3 linked regions of the Schizosaccharomyces pombe genome follow. Changing the gene in region 1 together with any one later gene gives a genetic interaction. Each region holds a gene or a part of one and is shown in the gene's direction. Other genes may lie near its edges.

Region 1 (7,562 bases):
AAACGCTCACGAGTTGAAGTAATTGCAGATAGAACTGATAAACGATTCACACGAGATTTAATGTTAGAGGCAGTGCCATACTCTTCGGCAAGCATATTGCTGTATCTGGATATTTGTTCGCCAGGTGGGATAATTAACGTAATCATTGAGGTGCCGTTTCCATGACAGTTAATCAATTGTTTTACCAAACGGCGAATTTTCCAAATTTCGATAGCTTTCTCAGCAGTCTCACTCATTTTGTAAAATTTGTTTTAAAGTTTTTTATACCCAAGGTTCTTGTACACACTATGAAAAATCCGAAAACCGAAATCCTATTTTTTTATAACTTGAACAGACAGTTCAAGCAACGAATTACCTCTTGTACTTCGTTTTTGGTAGTTGGTAGGTTTTTGCCTACTGAAAGGTGACGGCCTATGAAAACTTTTAGCACGATACATTTCGTTAACTTAGCTATCGTATTTGTATTTATTACAGTATTTCAATAATATACAAAAAAACAAATAATTTTTTGGAGGTAAAATATTAGTAAAATTGAATCACTAAACAATTCGACTCCAAGCGGCTGACAAACATTCAACCAATAGTTTAGAAGCTCAGTAAAAGGAAACGAAGACATAAGAACATTAGACGTCCTTTTTCCATCGGAGAGCATTTTAAAGAAAGAAATGATATTTAGAAAAAAAAAGCAAATGATTTAGGAAATGAAATAATAGAGGTCTAAAAATTGTAATTGAATGTCAGTGTTTTATCTGTCAAAATATTTCAAACCTAATAGTCACGTTGTAATAAACGACACGATCTCGTAATCAGGTTTTTATCGAACACGAGTAAAAGCGGTATATTTTGAGTAACGGTAATAAAAACTTTTTAAGTAAAAAGAAACAAAGTCTATTCTCTTATGCAGGCTTGAAAAAATTTTGCAAATTAAACATAAATAATAACCAACACAAAGGGTTTAAGACTTTGACAGACTATCGCGCATGCTTTGAGAACTAGCACTAACGGGATTATGAGTCATAGGGAGGATGGTAGCAGGATCTTTCTGACGTTGCTGTTGAGATTTAGCAACGGCATAAACAACACCAGAAATAAAGCCCAACAAAATAGCGGTAACAGATCCAAAAGTGATGGGTGCATCAAAAAACACTAAACCGGCAATAGCCAAGGGAAGTTTGTTAAGAGCACCAACCATACTATAAGTTGTCGAAGAAGTTACGCGTACACACCAGGCAGAGGTGTAAGAAATTCCTACTGAAGAAACACCACTAATAGCCATAGCCATTAGAACACCAAATTTGGCATCAGGAGGGAAATTTTGAGCAATGTTTTCAGCACTCCAGTCCTCAGTAAAGAGCGTGCAGATAACCAAAACAGGGATACTGAGTAAGTTGTTATAAAACATGGTATCAAAGTCACGAAAGTTGGTAAGTTTGATACGCTTACGCATCGCGAGAACAAAAGCAGCATTTGTGAGACAGTTAAGCACCATCCATAAATAGCCAGAATTTAAGGTTTGGGAAGCAAATGAGGAAGACTGGATGTCTGCCCAAGCAGCGACAATAGAAGAAAGAACCATTAATCCAAAAGAAAAAAGAGTTAAAGCAGTAACATGCCCGCCAAACCAAAGGACCTCACCATAAGCAATGATAATAATAGTTAAATTCTTAAATATAGTGTACACTGGAACAGAAAGAAATTGCAAAGCCTTCGATGCAGTATAAATCATAGCTACCAATAAAAAGGAAATAGGAAACCAAAATTTGGCCTCACGAAAATCAAAATCCCTATAATTAATAACTTTCAAACGTTTTAGTATCCCAATGGCTGCTACACAAACAGTGGATTGTACAGTCAAAAGGAGAAAGTTCATATTGTAACCAGGACTCGAAAGAACATATTTATTGGTCAAAGTCATCAATATGGAAGCCATGCAATATGACACCACTGGAAGAATCGGTGATTTACTAATTCGGTTTAGCATATGATTATCCATTGTTGTTGGAATTTCGTGATGGCTCCGGTGAAGTTGTCTACATACCTACCCACCATGTTTGGAAGGAGCGCGTACGTAACAGGCCTTACCCTTCCTCAAAGACACAGTCCATTGGTAACAAGTTTTGGCATACAGATTGATTAACATCTCTGTTGATCAAACTTAAATAACTTGGTCTTCTCATATAAAATATAATTATTTAAATACTTTTTTGTTCATCTATAAAAGAGTATTTTCGCCTGCAAGCCACACTTAATGTTACACCAATTCATATGTTTTACAACAAAGTATGAGCATTTACTGTAAAAGCTGTGTTTGAATTGTTGTGAAATTCCTTAGTGTATGAAGATCGTTTTCCAGTCGAAGTCGATCATATATAAAGTCGCGATGCAGATACATATACAATTTAAGCATTTGTTGGAACTAGAGAGGCAAGGGAATTGACTCATATTATAATAGATGATTGGAGTATAACCGTATAGACAATGACCTTTCTACATGGATCTTTCGTTTCGTTCAATTGGACTATAAATTTATAAACGAATGCAATGTGGGCTACTTACAAACGCTTTTTCGTAGATAATAGTCTAGTCTTTAAACCATAATAGCTATTAAGACGTTATTTCAAAAGTAAAAGTGCAGAAAGAAGTGTTGACGCAGAGAAGACGATTGATGAAGTACAACTATAAAATAATATACATGCGTTTAGGTACTCGCATGTTTTAATCATGGAATTGGCTAAAAAAATCTATGAGTTGTTGGGAAGTGTTCAGTAATTCTCAATGCCACTTTCAATAATCAAAAATCAACTGAACTTGCAAATGCAAAACATGTAGTATAAGTATGCGAAAATACCCCACCATTAGAAAGCTACGCATCTTAAACTCCTATGGGCGTTTCCAATTGCAGATATGTACGGTATATTAGGGCACGCTTAACTTTGCTAAAAATTAATTAACGAAGTGCAACCACAGATGTATTGCGTAAAGCACTACCGATGTTTAGCCATCCGTCTTAAACGAGCATTGTGCCCATATCAATTGTAAGAAGCTCTTCTCTGTATATAAGCAGTCGACCTCTTGCAAACCGCAGTTTTTAGTAGGAATTGGTATTACACTCATTGTAAACAACATTCTGCATATTTCACCTTTGTGGAAATCATTTATCAAAATACCCACATACAAGGCACACATTGTAAACATTGTGGTTGCAAAGGATTTAAGTACATTTCAATCAGATTTTGGACCTTCCTATTTAATTTATAAATAATTTATATATAATCGCATATATTATATTAAAACTCTAATTATAAACAGCTTGCTTTGATTAGACGTTGCGATGTCGCGCAGAAATTCAATTGCGGTTGAGCAGGCAATCAATCCAAACATGCTTCGCGCTGCCAATCGAAGCTCTGAAGCCTTACTCGATAATGAAAAGTTTGGAGGTGTGCAACCCTACAGTACAGAGAGCGGTATGCTCTTTCATGCCGGAAAGCTCGTAATCATCATGTCTGGCTTACCGGCTAGAGGCAAGTCTAATATTGCTGTGTCGATAGACAGATATCTGAGGTGGTTGGGATTTAATTGTAGATTTTACAGTCTTGCGAAATACATAGACGAACGCACTAGGGAAATGACTAGTTCGCCTGTGAAATCTGGTAAGCTGAAACTATAGTCGACGTTTTGTACCTTTGCTAACTTATAACAGCTGCATCAGAAAATCATGTTTTTAGTAGGAATGACACAATTGAGAGATGTTTAGCAGACTTAGAGATTTTTTTACTTAAAGAGAAAGGTCAGGTTGCTATTTACGATGCAACAAATGGTACTAGACGTACACGTCGTATTTTATATGATAGGTTCAAGAATTGCGGGTTTAAAATCTTGTTTATTGAAAGTCTGTGCAATAAAGAGGATGTCATCAATGCGAATATTCAAGAAGCAATTCATGTTTCTGAGGAATTTCGAAATTGGGATTTGGAGATGGCCGAAAAAGAATATTGTCGTCGAATTGATATTCTCAAATGCCATTATGAAACCATTGATGAAAAGGACTATTCCTTTGTTAAAATGATTAATTTTGCTGAAACCATCATCGCAAACAAAAGTAATGAAGGTTACCTATTGTCTAGAATACTGTTCCTTCTCATGAACATGACTTTGGCGAGAAAACGTATCTTTTTGGTGCCGAAAGCTTCTATGAGACCGTTAAAATTACGAGAACCAGAAGATGACATAGAAAATCGCCAATTTTCTGAATATGTAGCTGATCGTATACGTAAATCTTTCCCAGATGTTTCTTTCAAAAACTTACACGTATTATCCTGCATGGAGGACTCTGTAATGAGTCCATTTCGAGAACTGGGTTCTGTTACCTCATCTATGTCGAGTCTTTCCCCGATCTTAATGGATTCATTTGGAGACGATTTACAGAAATTAAAAGAAACATATGGCGAAGAAGAGTATAATCTTTACCTTGTAGATCCTTACAGATATAGAGTTAAACGGAAAGAATCATTTTATGATTTGGCTGTTCGTTTAGAGCCTTTAATACTGGAATTGGGTCGGGAGCAGCGTGATGTTTTGCTGATCGGCTCTAAAAGCATAATACGGGTTTTTTACGGTTATTATATGAATGTACCAGCTAAGGTAAGATTTCTGACATTGTCCATTGCAACTTACAAATAATTTAGGATATCCCCCAATTATGCCTTTCTTCATCCTCAATTTACGAATTGATCGAAAGCAGCACCGGCATGACAGTCAATGAGTATGACTTATGAATGGCATTTTCCAATGTCTGTTTTCTCAGACAAAAAAATGCTAATTGTTTTTAATAAATGCGCATGACCAATTATATATTGAATTGTGAGTTTGTGCACAAAAATTTAATACTACTTGTAAGTCGTATCAAAACTAGTAAAGTGATATTTTAGTGATAAATGAAAGAAAAGGTCTTGATTTCGTTGAACAAAAAAAAAAGATTATATACCAATCCATATAAAGGGAACAGCAACCAGGGATCCGATAAAATTAAAAAACTAAGAAGTTATTGTCATATACAAACGCTTAAACACAGGTCGCCATCATTCCATTCAAAACAGATAGAAGTTGCTCATTTTCACAGGCAGCCGCCACTCGTTCCTTATCGTTCAGTTGTTTGTTTACTTGAGACTCACTCGCGTGGGTACCTTTTTTAACTTTCACATCGACATGAAAACGGGGAGGAAGACAGCGTTCGAGGCGAACTCGAATGCATAAACCGATCAATGTGCACATAGAGCAATGAGGGATAGTTGGAGTAATGTGAACTGTGATATAAGAATCGCCTTCAACATTATCAACAACCTCAATGTCTTCTAATTTGACGACCGATAACTGAGCAAGAGTTAATGGATGTTCTGGATCATTTATTTTAGCTAGAAGGTCGTATATTTCTTGTGGATCTATTGGATCTCTTTCTTCCTTTATGTTAGTCTGCTCACTTTCAATCTCGGTTAGCCATTGTTTCGTAGAACTCAACAATAGATCCTCTTCTTCTTCAACCCTAGATGGCAATTGATTTAACTCCTTTACTTCCGGGTTTTCGTTCTGTAAATTTGCACTCATTTTTTTTTTAAATTAATAACTAATAAATGACTAAAGACTACTATGAATATCACCTTCGATAGTGTGAATTTTGGAAGGCATAAAATTTAATTAACCTCAGGATGAATAATTGTCATTTTGGATTACGTAGTGCGTTATCAAAGTCAGCACTTGCCACGCTCAACTACCATGCAGTTAGCGTTAACACTTTACTATATGCTACGTGTCGACAAGCCCCTAGTAAATTAGACTACGAACGTTAATTATCAGTACTTCTTATATGTCTTATTAAGTATTTATACTTATTGTACGGTAGATATGCATACTTTATTTGAAGTGATTATAGTCACATTAGAAACTGTAAATGGCCTAACTAAACCCACGTTCCGCAACCAATAATAAATCATTTCAAATTAAATTATAAACACCATGCAATATTTTGATTGTAGCCTACTATCTATTTACGATTGATATACTTACATAAACAAATGTATTAATCGCAAGAGAAACTCAGTATCGCAGTCTCTTGCATGCTCAAAAGGGTGTGAGTTTTGTATTTTCAGCTTAAGCTTTCAATACTCATAACATACAAGTAATACGAGATATTTGAAAATTTATTACTGACTAGAAAAGGCATATAATCACTCCAACTACCTAGAACTGGGAGACACACAGTTGTAGTCCAATATCCAAGCAATAGATTGGCATACTATGCTAGTCAGAAACTAAGCCTTTATTTTAATTGAAATAGATAGTAGTAATTACACTGTGTCAATAGTTGGACACTAGCATTTTATAGCGTTTGTTAAATAATGAGAGACAATGAACAATACGATGGTAATTTCTTTAACGAAAATGCTGAGCACCCCACTAACTGATTTACTAACTCATGTAAATGACCATAATTCATTTACATACTTACTATGATACCAGAAATTCATAGTAATTCAATACAAAATACTAGCCTTGTCAAACACCTATAGTTGATTCTTTCTTACCCAATCGTATTGGAAATTGTTTATAAGCAAGCTATTTATAGTCGTTATATGCAGTTCCTGTACGTTACACATACAAACAATAATAAGCAAACCAGCTAACTTTATCAACCTATGTTCAGTTTCCTATGAACTTTGTTTTGAAATTTTTTTTACCCGTACAATTACTTATCCCTCGTTGACTTATTCATTGAAGTAGTTTTAAAATGGTAGAAACGGATCTTATGTCTTCACATTCCTCAAATTGGAAAGAAATTTTTAGAACACATAGCATTGCTCAAACTATTCAACTAGAAAAGTTCGTCAGCCAGCAGATTGAGGAGAAAGGAAGAGAGTTGCAACAGAATGTTTGCTTTAACTATCAAAGCTTTATTGAAGCTTCTGAAAATCTCTCTAACATTAGAAATAATCTGGAGAAAGTTTTGCAAAACTCATACGAATTTCAATCCATGGTGAGTTTACCAAAAGTGGATCGCGTCTCAAAGTTTCTATCCGATAATGAAAGTATATCGCAAACGTCTGGTGATTATTTTATATTCTTACAGAGATTTTATGCACATGCTATCTTGTTTGTGATGGAATTGTTCAATAAGGAGCAATATTTGCAATCGTCCAAACTATTGATTTTCTGCCTAAGAATATTACCTGCAGATTTACCAAACGACCACCAATGCCACATATTAGTAAATAGACTTGAATCGTGTAAAAATTATCTGAATAATCGTTTGAAACAAGCGATGACTTCTTCTTTATCAAAGGTCTCAGTCGTCACATCATGGATTCTGCTTAATCAGGCGAATATATCTTCGGGACTTGACATATTTTTACAGGAATGTGAAGATCAATTGCTTATTTTGAATGATGCGAGAGAATTTTCCTTGACATTTTTGAACACGCTGAAGCTAGCTCGAGATTTTCCTAATGAAATACGTAGTTATTTAGAAGCTTCGAAGAATTTCAATATTTTTAAGGAAAAGGAAATCCTGA
Region 2 (6,572 bases), 2.5 Mb from region 1:
GCTGGTATCTGTAATCCACCAACTGTCAAACCAAAAGTACAGAAACTTGAAAGGAGAGATATTTGACAAAATATGATACAAATAGATACTATACCGAAGGAATTACAATCCATTCAACCGTTTGTGAGACGATTCAATGAACTTGAGGCACACAATCCTGTCATAGCTTATTGGAGTAAGTGTTTAGTAGCTAAGTGATGAATTTGTAATATGGAAGGGTGTATGAAAAAAAAAATTGGAGAAAGAAAAATATAAAATAATAAAAAAATAACTTAAACCTTTTTTCTCTCTTGTTTACGTTGATGAAGTTTTCATAGTCTACATTTCGCTAGAGGGAATACTACTTTCCATAATACACCCTATTATAAGCACAAAGGAATTTGTTTCATCATTCGAGATATTCATTTGCTTGATTCACTAACTTGTACTATTACTAGGTCTATACTGGGCAGCTCAAATGGCGCTTTCCAGCTCACACGGTGTTTCCAACGAATGCAAGGATTTCCTGCTGTCACTCATTGAGCATTTAGAAGATGTAAGTTTAGAAAACATCCTTTTCCTTTTTTTAAATGTTGGCGAGGGTTTTTTCTCTTTTTTTTTTTTTTTGGATTACGAGACCAACTATGTAAATGTTTCTGTGGTACTAACCGCTCTATGGCGTGTGTAGTTACGTAAAAATTTGGGCGAGAATGAGAATGTGAGTGACGAGACTAGTGCAAAGGCGTATGTTGAATCGTTTTCCCTAGAAGTTCTTGTCCAGGCCGAAAGAAATAGCAAAAACGGGAAACCAGATGTGCAAGCGTATTTGGCAGCCCGAGATTTTCTAGAGTTGTCGAGAATCTGGGGACCACCTACGGAACAGGTACGTGAGTCAAAAACAGCGAGAGCAAGTGAGACGGAATGAAAAAGAGTAACGAGCAGAACTTAGGAGAAAAAAAAAAGAAAACCACGATCAACAAAAATGAAAAAATGAAGGTTCTTTGGAAATTTTTTTATTTTTTATTTTTGTTTTGTCAAAAACAAAATCGTCTTTTCCAATTCACATTACCATGTGTTTTTTTTTTCGACTCGTTTCTTCTTTTGCCATTCTGAGGATTTCCTTCCTATCGGTATTTTTCTCTCTCGTTTGTATTATACAACGATGCTTTATGATGCTTATAACGATTTTTTGTTCCCTACTAACCCCTATTGCTACGTAGATTACCAAGTCAATCAAATTTTGCAAGTTACGTGCGCTCCAAGTCGCAAATCCCCAACGAAAGGCCAAAACACCCTCAAACCACGCGACCGAGGAGTTACAGCAATCTTCCACAAATTCCACAACCCTACCTACGCAAGAAGCCGCCGTTGAAACGAATGCCTCTGCTTCTCATGAAACATCTTTTGCTCTCCCCACTACATCTCCAGCAGCATCGCTCTCCATCTCTCCTACAAAGTCTGCAGCCGTATCTTCCGAGCCTAATGTAGAAGCAGACGTAAAATCGTTGTCTTCAACACCGGCTGCTCCACAACTAAATTCACCTTCCCATTCATATGAGCCTACCACGTTCCCCTCAACTACATCAATAACCGAAAATTTGCCAACAATAGATCCTACTCGTTCCACTCGCTCTTCCTCGCATATCCAAAGTTTATCTCCTGAGTCAAAGCAAACATCAGATGGGCATCGGCCTCCCTCCCCTACGTCAATCACCACCACCTCCACCTCCATCGATCCGTCAGTAGCATTTTCCAGCAAGTCAACTTTAGCCACAACAAGAACAAATGCCCCTCTATCAAGGCCATCTCAACCGACTAAAGCCTCCCCCTTGAACAAGTTTTCCGCCTTGGAGGCTATCCAATCTGCTCGAAGTCATGCACGCTATGCATACAGTGCATTAGACTACGAAGACACAACGACAGCCATTCATCATCTAAAGTCGGCACTAAAACTTTTGGAGGAAGAGGAGCAGGGAAATCATACTGCAGACTAGAGGAAGAATGCTGGGGCTGGAATGGAGGGGATCTCAATGAGACAATGGGAAAAGGTGGGGCAGATACCAGTAAAATTATCTATCCATCTTGGGGAGAAACAATCTAATTGTACCACTCTCCCCACTATTCGTCTCTCTTAATGTTTGTTTATTTGTTTGTTTTTTTTTTATCCACTTTTTTTTCTTCAAATGCTTTCTAATTGTAGCAGGACCCCGCCTTTCTCTCCACTCTTCCCATTTTCCCTCGCCGTTGAGTGGCACTGCTCATCCCTGTCTCCTCATTTTTTGTCGCGTCATTTTAGCGAGCGTTTATTAAGGAACTGGCGAATGACTGCTGTTGTATATATTTCCCCAGATTTTCAGCAAGTAAGCTTTTGTCTTGTACTGCATACCACGTTGTCTTTCTTGCCCCTATGACGCAGTTATGAGACCAACGAGTCATGGGTTTATCCTGCCTCATCTTTTGTTACGTTATTTTCCTGTCTGCTTGGGTTTGGCTTCCGCAGTGGGGAACTGGCAATTGCGGTGGATATGTGTGGTGTCATCGCCCTCTCATCAAGTTTATATGTAGAGGGGCAGCGCTGAATTCTTTGCTCTTGGTTATTGCTTTCGCAGTTTTCCATATTTCCCCCATCCATCCATCCATCCATCCACCTCTTCTCTTCTCTTCTTTTTTTAACAGAATTGCTTTTTCCATTGTAAAATAAAACCATAGCAAGTTTTCACTACCACTTGGGTTTTTTTTTCTTTTCTTTAATTATTTTTTTAATCAACTTTCGTTGCTTTAATTTTTAAATATTTTTTCTCTTTTCATTCTTCCTACTCTTCCCGTTTACCGTCGATCGGCTGATTCTAGTTTTGACAATCACCATTGACTACGTCGATCCCTTTTTTTTTGGCCAGCCGAGATCATATATCCCGTTCATTCTTGGAACTTTCGTGATCTTTCGACTGTCTATTGATTCCGCAAACAAGTATATATATACACATATAGTTGTTTTTTCTTTTTGGACCTCTGTTCCATTGCGTTTCTCTCCTTCTTAGTTACTTGTGCTTCTTTACCTATTTCCTTTTTCTTTTTAAATAAGGATTCTTCTGTATCGAAATAAATTTCAAGAAAGGTAAGAACCGTTCCACACGCCTATTCTTGTATTTCTCTTTTCTTCGATTTGATTCGATTTCTATTCGTAACGCTTAGCTAGTCTTTGAACTTCCTTCATAATGATTGGTCCTCGTCTTTGCGCTGCAACCCCTCGCTTCCCTCTCGTTTCCCTCGCCCACAGGAACTCTAAAGTATTTGCGCTCGCCTCTTCCAATGCCGTTGCACAACGTTGGGGCAAACGCTTTTATGCTCCTATTGAAACGGAGACGCCTCACAAAGTTGGTGTAGAGTTTGAAGAATCCAAAGATCGCATTTTCACCTCTCCTCAAAAGTATGTTCAGGGTCGTCATGCCTTCACTAGATCCTATATGTATGTCAAAAAATGGGCCACTAAATCAGCTGTCGTGCTTGCCGACCAGAACGTATGGAACATTTGTGCCAATAAAATTGTCGATTCTCTTTCTCAAAACGGAATGACTGTCACCAAACTGGTCTTTGGCGGCGAGGCAAGCTTGGTGGAACTGGATAAACTTCGCAAACAGTGCCCTGATGATACTCAAGTCATCATTGGAGTTGGTGGTGGTAAAACCATGGATTCCGCAAAGTATATTGCTCATTCCATGAATCTTCCATCCATCATTTGTCCTACTACTGCCTCCTCTGATGCCGCTACTTCCTCTCTTTCCGTCATTTACACTCCTGACGGTCAATTCCAAAAATACAGCTTTTACCCCCTTAATCCCAACCTCATTTTCATCGATACCGATGTGATTGTTCGCGCTCCCGTCCGCTTCCTTATTAGTGGCATTGGTGATGCTTTGTCCACCTGGGTGGAAACTGAATCCGTTATTCGCTCAAATTCCACTTCCTTTGCCGGAGGTGTGGCCTCCATTGCTGGCCGTTACATTGCCCGTGCTTGCAAAGACACTCTTGAAAAGTATGCCCTGAGCGCTATTCTTTCCAACACTCGCGGTGTTTGTACCGAGGCATTTGAGAACGTGGTCGAGGCCAACACATTGATGTCTGGTCTAGGCTTTGAAAACGGTGGTCTTGCTGCTGCTCATGCCATCCATAACGGTATGACCGCCATCCACGGTCCCGTTCATCGTTTAATGCATGGTGAAAAGGTTGCTTACGGTACCTTAGTTCAAGTTGTTTTGGAGGATTGGCCGTTGGAAGACTTCAATAATCTTGCTTCTTTTATGGCAAAATGTCATCTTCCCATTACCCTTGAGGAACTTGGTATTCCCAACGTAACCGATGAAGAGTTATTGATGGTAGGTAGAGCTACTTTGCGACCTGATGAGAGTATTCACAACATGTCAAAGAAGTTCAATCCATCTCAAATTGCTGACGCTATTAAAGCCGTTGACTCCTATTCACAAAAATGGCAAGAACAAACTGGATGGACCGAGCGTTTTAGATTACCCCCTTCTCGTCATAGTCCTCACTTGACCGACATTCATCCATAGGCATTATTTTTATCCCCAGCTTCAATTTTCCCTAGTAAATCCAAAAGAAGAAAAGAAATTTTTAAGCGGGTTTTCTTCATTGATCATTAATGTCCTGAGTGTTTTTTTTTCTATAGTAGTCTTTTATTTCGTGTGCTTCCTTTCCTCTTGGAACTTTTTTTACCTTTTTTCTTTCTTCCTTTTTTTTATTTTTTTAAAAAAGTTGTAAGCTTTTCCCGTTAATCTAGTGATTTAATGATCAACCTTTTCGGCCTACTCCAAAGTTTTTTACGCCCCTTATAACTTCATGAATAATTTGCTTTATTTTTGTTACGAATGAAAAAAATTGTTCCCCTTTTCAAATGAATGTTTTATCGTTGTTAGTTGTATTGTATTAAAGTTGTTCACCGTAATTGATCTATTTGTTACAATGCACATCATCTGTGTTGCTTCCTTTTTTTTTTTTTTTTTTTGCAATCGCTTTTTATTGTGATAGATTTCAAAAGTTTTAAATGTAATTACAATTAATAATGTTCCTATGTTAGAAAACTTTAAATAACTAAAGTGATTTGTTTTCACGTATTATACAATTGTCGCTAGTGGCCTTGTCAAACATTCGTTGTTATTATATTATATGCTAACTCAATATGATTAGTATGCTACAAATGGTATAATAAGTGAGTAAATCCCGGATTCCTAGCTACATTGAAAACCCTTTTTACCTTAACCTTTGCATCGATCAACAATTTCGCGCTTTATTTACATTGTTTACTGTGGGATAAATAAGTAGTGTTGTCAACAATACATTACTCAAGGATACACTACGTTGAGTATCACTATATGACACATGTCCTAATCATTCATCGTTGTATGAAACAGTATTGAGATTGACCTTAATAATAATCTATTAATATTTTTATTATCTGAATACTATAAATAGGGCTACTGCCGAACCTTGTTCCTCAGTTCAGTAGTTTAGCTATGTCGGTGATCGATACTAATGGACTTCTTATAGTAACAAATATACATTGTTAGTTAAACATACCACATACCGCTATACTGTAGGTCGCAAGAGAAACTCACCGCAGTTCTATGAATCGTTAAATAGATACCAAACTGCGTAGCTGACAGGTGTTTGCAGATAACGATTGTATTAAAAAAATGTTGTAAATCACTATGGCTCGTTAGTAGTAGATAACGAGACTCACTTGAAGGTTTAGCGACTTGCTAATCGAGCGTTTGCCAACGACAATTACTCAAAAGGCGGTTTTCGAAAATGGTTAAGCTAAAAATTCGTGCTGTTCAGCCTCCTCCAAATGATTCACGATCTAGCACTCCAGCCACTGGTCCTCCTCCCCCAATTCCTAAAATTAAGATCAAGACACGTGAACCTAAAGGCCCTCGATTGACAAAAATTCGGTTAAAAAGAGTTCGCGAACCTGGCTTAGGATATGATTCAGAAGCTTCTGACAGAGAAGAAGACACTTATATTGAAGAACAAATTATATTACGTCTTCCTCCTGGTGAAGATTGTGAGTATGTTCGAAAAGCAATTGAAAATAGGGAAGTGGGACGAGGTGCAGACATATGGGTGAAGTTCAAAGGTAATGACTTGGTTACACTATATTATTATTAACAGAGTTAGATCAAAGAAGAGCGGTTGTTCATGTTAATGGTCATTTGTACGCTGCGAAGTTAGTTGATTTGCCATGCATCATAGAATCTAATAAATCATTCGACAAAAAAGTTATCTTCAAGGCTGCTGACATCTGTCAAATGTTGATAGCTACAGAAAGAATCGAGCACGAAAATTCTGTTCTCAATACTCAGTTAAAGCAAGCTGATTACATTTATCCACATGGATTGACGACGCCAATGCATTGGGTGCGGCAGAAGCGATTTCGAAAACGTGTTTCGAACAGAACAATCGAAGCAGTTGAAAATGAGGTTGACCGATTGCTTGCAATGGATGAACGCGCTGAAAGTACATCGAATGAGTTGATTGATCAAGCACAATTGGCTCGTGACTCAAGCATCGCTCTTTCA
Region 3 (7,709 bases), on another chromosome or scaffold:
CGTTTATAGGCTATCAAAAAGGTATAGTAAAAGAATACAGGTGAAAATAATTTTGCAGTCCAGGGAAAGCACAGCAAGCTACCGGATAAAATCTGATTCCTAATTTTAGATCTGACAAAAAGTATTACCATAGTTATGCAGCCTTTTTCACCAGATATAAGTAATGGACAAACTTACATGATAGTTGTTATAACGTAAACAGAAAATTGGAGCCAAAATCAGCATCTGACATTTGAGCAGCGAGATCACAAAGACTATAACACTAGTCAAGAATAGTTATTACGAAGTGCTTGGTTTATTTATTGAAGTCCAATTTTTATAGACAGTATCATTAGTGGCTTGCAATGTCGTTATAAAATCATTGCATTCGTTGGCAGTTGTCGTTCACTTTGTAATAACCTGAAATCATTTATGGAAGAAAAACCAATCAAGGCAGCGCATATTAGTAATATTTTCACTGCTCTATTAAGAGCGGTAATTCAACTCGGTCTACCAAAGTCGTATATATAATTAAACCTAATTGTTTTAAATTTTTCGAGAATAAGAAAAAGAGGCCTTTATCTAATAGTTAAAGATGCAGCGTACTAAACTCGTCACTTCTTTCTCGTTATTACTTTATCAGCCAACGCAAAAAGTGCCTTCCTTGCAGGTGAATCAGGGAGACACAGAAGGGAATCTTTGGCTTTTTTGATATATTCTTTTGCCCAAGTGATGGTTTGCTCGATAGCATCAGTGCACTCAACCAAAGAACGAGCCTAAATTATATGTTAGCAATTGAAAATTAACGATAGAGAAAAGGAAATCAAATAAATAAATAAAACTTCAGCTTCTCTTACCCGTTGGATATCAGAAGGATGATTGAATCTATTCACAATCATTGCACCAAGTTCTGGATACTTTTTCCATGCAAAGAGGACGGGAGCTGTAGCCAACCCTAGCTTCAAATCTGCACCAGCCGCCTTTCCTAAAGTATCATCTTTCGACGTATAGTCCAACACGTCATCCATTAGTTGAAAAGCAGTACCAATGCATCGACCGTATTCTCCAGCAGCTGTTGCTACAGTAGGAGAACATTGTCCGAGGATTGTAGAAGCCTTGCAGCTTTTGGAAATTAAACTGGCTGTTTTCAAAAAACTTTTTTCAATATAATAGTCAAAATTTGATTGTTTTATTTCCAAAGATGAAGGATCCATAGTATTTTTTAGCTGCAAAAACTCACCTCGAACCAAGTCTGCTATCACTGTAGCTAACAACTCCGTAACTTGGGGATTTCGAAGGCGGGCCATAGCAGTCGAAGCCCGTGCAAGGATGAAATTACCCGCAAGGATTGACCGTCGATTACCGAAAGCAACATTGCTTGAAGGTGAGCCTCTACGGACATTAGCGTGATCAATCACATCGTCATGCAGCAAACTTGCTATATGGATCATCTCGGTTATTTGTGCTAATCTCAATTGAGAAGGAAGAATTTGACCCGTCGAAAATGATCTTAAATCATCATCATCAATATATTTGTCGCCCACTACGGACCGATCAATACCATGGCACAAGCTTGTAGCTTTGGACATCAGCAAAACAAGAGAAGGACGCATTTGTTTTCCTTGAGCAATGGTATAATATTTAGAACACTCTTCAAGAAATTCTGAATTTGAATTCAGCATTTGACGAATCCCTGGTGAGATTTGTTCCAACTCGTTTTTAATTAAATGTGAAGCATTGCGGTTCGTAGTAGAAAACCGAAGAACAGTCGAACGGACTTTTCCAAGACTCCATAATTTCCTCATATGTTTTAAATATACATACTGAATCATTTCATTTCTTATTTTCAAAAGTAACTAAATGATGAAGTTAGAGTTGGGATGGTTTGTATATCATGGTATTTACCGTGATTTCGCTTAGATATGACGTCGCTTTGATCAGATAAGTTTATTTCAAAGAACGGAAGAATCATTAAATAGTTTGTAAACAAACAAAACATTTTTTAATTATCGTTTTTTCTTCATACCATTCTGATCTTAAGTATTTTTTCTGAAGAATTCTGTTGAGTCAAGCAGGATATTGAGCATCTTCCTCAGAGGCCAAATTCATTATCAAAACTTACAACAGCTTATACATCAAATCAGTTAACAATAAAATTCACAGATCTATTTGCATATGCATCTCTCCCGTGTATCATTTTTTATACGACACAATAATCAAAACAATTTATACTTCCAAATTGCTTCAATATTCGATGGGAGAAGTGCTACTTGGTTGAATACTCAAAAGCAGAATATTTAGATAAGTAAATGAATCTTATACTACAACTAATTTTTTTTTGGCGAAGTTAATATAACAGCTTCAGGGAATCCTCTATATGTGTTGATCTTCCAAGAGTTTCTCATCTTACTTGAACAATTATTGGTTCTAGGAATTTACGAATACATTGTTGATATTTTTTAGGTATTTTAATAGCTTTGTAACACTGCTTTAACAACATAAACATTTCTAAATGGTTTGACATGCGTGAAATTTTAATTGATCAGAAATTGCTTAAAAGCATTTTTACAAGTTTTAGTATTTGTAGGATCATTTAATAAAAATAAATTACGTACTTTTCTAGTCTACAAAACGATTCGCCTGCTAAGATTATTGTCATTGTAGTACAAAACGTTACATTCATATTTGTTTTATCACATTTTGACTTTTGAAGGCTTTTAACGATTAGGCGCCCGACTTTTTTCACCATTCACTTCAAGAATTTAAAAAATAAAAAATTTATCAACATTAAGTGCCATCCCGTTCCTTTCAGACATAGCTGATCTGTTTACATCTCCCGGGCCTCAAGTATTCTTAAAAAAAGCTCTATTTGAGCGTTAAGTTCAACTAGAGAAATTTTTTTTAGAATTTGTAGGTATATCAAAAGATACTTAAATTTTCGCAAATTTGTTCTCATCGAAAACCGCTTGGCTTCTGTTTTTCAGCCAGTCGAAGGCGCTCGATTTTAAAGTGCTCTCTAATCCACACTACTAGCATAGCGATGAAATGATTAATATCGTTAATAATACGTTTTTTGTTGTAAACAAATTTCCGGATTTGCGAATTAGCGGGAAAAAAAAAAGAGTGTGAAAGAAAGATATTTACTCATCTATTGAATCTATGAATAAAATGATTTTCTCCAATACGAATTCCTTATCAAATAGCTTTTGAAGAGATGAAAGAAAACCAGTGGCTGAAAAGTAACAGCGTTACTTCGAACATTCTATGGGATTTTTAACGACAAGACAGCACTTTTGACATTTGAACTTGCCAAAAGCAAAAAAGCCATTGACGAGTCGACTGCGGAAAATGGACTCAGACTTGGATAGAATACTACCGATAGCATCAAGAGCATTATTGTGTGAAGGAAATAGGGATTGGGCTGGTGCGTATGTGAGTTACTGCAAGGTTTTAGAGGAGATGAAGAAGTCGTCGGCAGCTCGCGATCGCATGGGATTGGGACCTTTGACGGGCGCAGAGGCATGTTCTTGGAACGGGCTCTATGACAACTGTTTGAGCAAGGCAAGCAAGCTGCGTAAGACGATTTTGGAAAGTGAAATGGAAAGGCAAAATTATCAACTTGCAGCCAAACTTTCAAAGAAGGCGCCCGTTGATCTTCACCCCTTACGTCCAGTAAGATCTCAAACACCTGCGTATACCCCCATGACTACTAGGATGATGTACAGACAGACGAGAGGTGCGCAGTCGGAGGTAAATTTATCTACGCCTAAGCAAATATATTCCAAGCATTCGCCTCCTTCTACCTCCACTTCATCCATTGTTTCTTCTTCCTATGGAGATGCACCTTCTTATCTGGCACCCTCTAAGCCAAACCGTTCTCCACCCCTCAAACCCGAAGATCCCTTTGCCTCTTTCAATTCTTCTGCTTCGGCCATTGCTGCTGCTTCTAAGAGTGCTGCCGCTTCTGCTTCTGCTCTTTCTTCTGATACAGGTCGTTCTGCTACCATGAATTCCACCACTTTTCCTACCGCTATGAAAAGTCAGTCTACGACTAAACCGACGCTTTCCAATTCGGTATCTAGCCCTTCTATTCAGGTGTCAAACAATCAAAATGCTAACAATAGCACTCCCCTCTCCTTCCATGCGCCAATTCCTCCACTCCATGTTCCTGCCGTCCCCCTTACGTCTGCATCGCATTCATCCAGCGATGGAAAATCGCGCAAGCATCCTAGCCCATATAAACCATACTTAAACTCTTCTCATGATACCCTTGGTTCTTCCACTCGACCGTCTTCCGCTGACACAGCCGGATCACCTGCTACATCTCCTCCGGCAACCGCTGATTCTAAGACAATTGTGTCAAAAACTATCTCAGCTAGTACTACTCAACAAACTGAACCTCTTCAACAGACCACTCCTTCAAGTGATTTTGAATATGCTATTATGAATGAAATTATTTCTAACCATGAACCTGTCTACTGGTCGGACATTGCCGGATTAGATGACGCTAAAAATTCCTTGAAAGAGGCAGTCATTTATCCGTTTTTACGCCCGGAACTTTTCCAAGGATTGCGTGAACCCGTACAAGGCATGCTTCTTTTTGGCCCCCCTGGCACCGGCAAAACCATGCTTGCTCGTGCTGTTGCGACCGAAGCGAAAGCCACATTTTTTTCGATTTCGGCTTCATCATTAACCTCGAAATATGTAAGCAAGTTTTATATTTAACCCCATTCTTAACTAACCTTGATTTAGCTTGGTGATTCTGAAAAGTTGGTTCGAGCCCTTTTTGAAGTTGCGAAGCGCCAGACATGTAGCGTTATCTTTGTTGATGAAATTGATTCCATTCTTTCCGCTCGTAATGACAGCGGTAATGAGCACGAGAGCTCTCGTAGATTAAAAACAGAATTTTTAATTCAATGGTCTTCGTTAACTAATGCGGCTCCGGACAAGCAAACTGGTCACTCTCCCCGTGTTTTGGTGCTGGCAGCTACAAATCTTCCGTGGTGTATTGATGAGGCTGCTCGACGCCGATTCGTTAAAAGAACCTATATTCCGTTACCTGAAAAAGAAACAAGATATAAACATCTTTCTCATTTGCTTCATAATCAAGTACACTGTTTGACGGAGGAGGATCTGGAAGAACTTGTCAATCTTACCGAAGGTATGTATATAAATAATTCGATTGGTTAGTTAACTAACGCCATCTAGGTTATTCAGGCTCTGATATCACTGCTTTAGCCAAAGACGCAGCAATGGGTCCTTTAAGAAACTTGGGTGATGCTCTACTTACCACCAGTGCAGAGATGATACCTCCGATCAGCTTGAATCATTTTAAAGCTAGCCTTCGTACTATTCGTCCAAGTGTCTCACAAGAGGGTATTCATCGTTACGAAGAGTGGAATAAACAATTTGGTTCGCAACGTTAAAACAACTTTGTAGAGTATTCTACCTTTAATATTTTCAAGAAATCATATATTCTTTTGCATCAAAAAGGCAGGGTATCCTTTAATTTATTCAAACTTCCTTTCTCTCTTTTTAATTTTATCCTTTAATGTTTCTTAACGAATCATTTGGGTATCGTTTTTCTGGATATTATGAGAATTACCGTGCATTTAGGGATTGAATCGTGGATGCTGATTTTCATGTGGTTTCAATAACTTTCTTTTGCATAAACTTGGCTTATTACGAATTTTAATTTCTGTTTACCTTCATTTTATTTTCGTCTTTCCTACAACAACTAAAATGTATTCGTGATTTGACTATCGCTATAAACGACATTTTAAATCATAGCCGACTTGACAGCGCCTTTTACAAATGCTCCCCTTTTGTATTTTCCATCAATTCTCTTTATTTTATTTTTTCCATTTATCGTCATATTTATTTCGTTTACATACAGCCTCAACCTATTGGGCTACTTTTTTTCCCTTCACTATTCTCCAATTTTGAACAATAATTATTAGTTATTTAATGTTTGGAAAAGGGTATTGCTTTACTTGAATCGCATTTTTACGGCAATTAACTTATAGCTTTTATTGAAATAACATTTCAACCTCTTGTTTGTATACTGAATTAAATGTTTTAAAATTTATTTAAAGGTCATAATAGTAGCGTTTAAAGCATTGCAGGTTGAAAATGAAATCATGAATATATAGAAATTGGATTTCAGTATTCGATATTGTCACCTTTGTTACTTCTGGGAGTGGGTGTTTCTCACCGAATGGGTTTGACTTGACATGATTATTGAACCACTGCTTTATATATGTAAACGTGTTTTTGACCTTAGGACGTTTACCACCTTTAAAAGAGCTACATAAAGAGCGGAATTATACAATAGTACCGAATGGTTCCAAAGTTGTTTCAATCGAGCCGTTTTAAGGCATTTAAAAAAAGCGAAACAAGTGAATTACAAAAGGGACTAGTTTCTCAGTATGCCTACGAGAGAATTGATGCTGTGAAACGGACTATTGCCGCAATGACTGTTGGCAAGGATGTGTCTAGTCTGTTTCCCGATGTTTTAAAGAACCTAGCTACTCGCGATATCACCTTGAAAAAACTGGTTTATTTATATCTAATTAACTATGCCAAAACACACCCTGATCTTTGTATTTTAGCCGTTAATACTTTTGTAAAGGATTCTGAGGAATATAATCCTACTTTACGAGCTCTGGCAATTAGAACTATGGGTTGCATTCGGGTAAATAAAATCATTGGCTATTTGGCAGATCCGTTGCGAAAAGCTTTGAAGGATGAGCATCCCTATGTTCGTAAGGCTGCAGCGGTTTGTGTTGTAAAGATGTATGACCTTGATCGAGAATACTGTGCATCAAATGGTTTCATCGAACAATTGCAGGCGTTGGTATCTGATCCGAATCCTGTGGTTGTGGCTAATGCAGTCCGCTCACTTGCTGAAATTCATGATCAGGACCCTGAAAAGGGATATTTTAATGTAGTTTACACGATGACAGACAGGCTAATGGTTGCTTTGAGTGAGTGTAATGAGTGGGGTCGGATTACTATTTTGAATTCTTTAGCTAGATTTCGCACTTCTGATATCAAGGAAGCTGAATATGTTTGTGAAAGGGTGGTTCCTCAATTCCAACATGCAAATAGTGGTGTCGTTTTGTCCGCTGTGAAAGTCATAATGGTACATATCCCTCTCTTTTCCAGTGACTTTACAGACTTTCTGTACAAAAAAATGGCTCCTCCTCTTTTGACGCTACTTTCTACGGACTCAGAAATCCAGTATGTAGCCTTACGGAACATTAATTTAATATTACAAAAGAGGCCTTCTATTTTTGATGTCAAAACTCGGGTTTTTTTCTGCAAATATAATGATCCTCTTTATATTAAAATGGAGAAACTAAAGATAATTACAATGCTTGCATGTGACGAAAACATTAACGAGACCATTTCCGAGCTTCGAGCGTACGTTTCCGAAGTTGAACTAGAATTTGTGAAACAAACGATTAAATGCCTTGGAGACGTTGCATTGAAAGTTCCAAGCGTCATCAATGATTGCATCTCCATATTTCTTGAAATCTATGAGTTAAATATTAGTTATATGGTTCAAGAAGTCACGGTGGTGATGGAAACGGTTTTGCGCAAATACCCTCAAAAGATTGACTTATTACTTCCATATCTTTCTCGTGTCATTGAGGAGCTTGGTGACCCTAGAGCCCGTAGTAGTATGGCTTGGATTTTAGGGGAATTTTCACACGTTATACCTACTT

What was found. Genes that interact genetically often act in the same process or in processes that back each other up.
Region 2: mutations in SPOM_SPAC144.17C (region 1) and gld1 together harm fitness more than expected from each alone (negative genetic interaction), as found in Schizosaccharomyces pombe (one large-scale study listed by BioGRID).
Region 3: mutations in SPOM_SPAC144.17C (region 1) and knk1 together harm fitness more than expected from each alone (negative genetic interaction), as found in Schizosaccharomyces pombe (one large-scale study listed by BioGRID).

Annotation. Positions count from the first base shown.
Region 1 is NC_003424.3:4,684,601-4,692,162, reverse strand, and holds SPOM_SPAC144.17C (6-phosphofructo-2-kinase), read left to right. Parts: upstream 1-3,009; 5' UTR 3,010-3,331; coding exon 3,332-3,650; exon of another isoform or gene 3,651-3,700; coding exon 3,701-4,641; exon of another isoform or gene 4,642-4,685; coding exon 4,686-4,775; 3' UTR 4,776-5,061; coding exon of another isoform or gene 5,062-5,601; 3' UTR 5,602-5,861; downstream 5,862-7,562. Other genes in the region: cytoplasmic translation release factor class I eRF1, read right to left, coding at 1-236; GDP-mannose transporter Vrg4, read right to left, coding at 956-1,993; cia2 (sister chromatid cohesion protein), read right to left, coding at 5,062-5,601; COG complex subunit Cog1, read left to right, coding at 6,782-7,562.
Region 2 is NC_003424.3:2,172,983-2,179,554, reverse strand, and holds gld1 (glycerol dehydrogenase Gld1), read left to right. Parts: upstream 1-2,982; 5' UTR 2,983-3,194; coding exon 3,195-4,547; 3' UTR 4,548-4,914; downstream 4,915-6,572. Other genes in the region: vta1 (Vts1 family protein), read left to right, coding at 73-175, 438-535, 668-862, 1,200-1,973; transcription factor TFIID complex subunit Taf7, read left to right, coding at 5,803-6,130, 6,172-6,572. UniProt on the Schizosaccharomyces pombe protein: Glycerol dehydrogenase involved in the assimilation of glycerol.
Region 3 is NC_003423.3:678,245-685,953, reverse strand, and holds knk1 (AAA family ATPase), read left to right. Parts: upstream 1-3,287; 5' UTR 3,288-3,327; coding exon 3,328-4,683; intron 4,684-4,715; exon of another isoform or gene 4,716-4,731; coding exon 4,732-5,140; intron 5,141-5,187; coding exon 5,188-5,405; 3' UTR 5,406-6,051; downstream 6,052-7,709. Other genes in the region: decaprenyl diphosphate synthase subunit Dps1, read right to left, coding at 594-755, 837-1,811; AP-1 adaptor complex beta subunit Apl2, read left to right, coding at 6,320-7,709.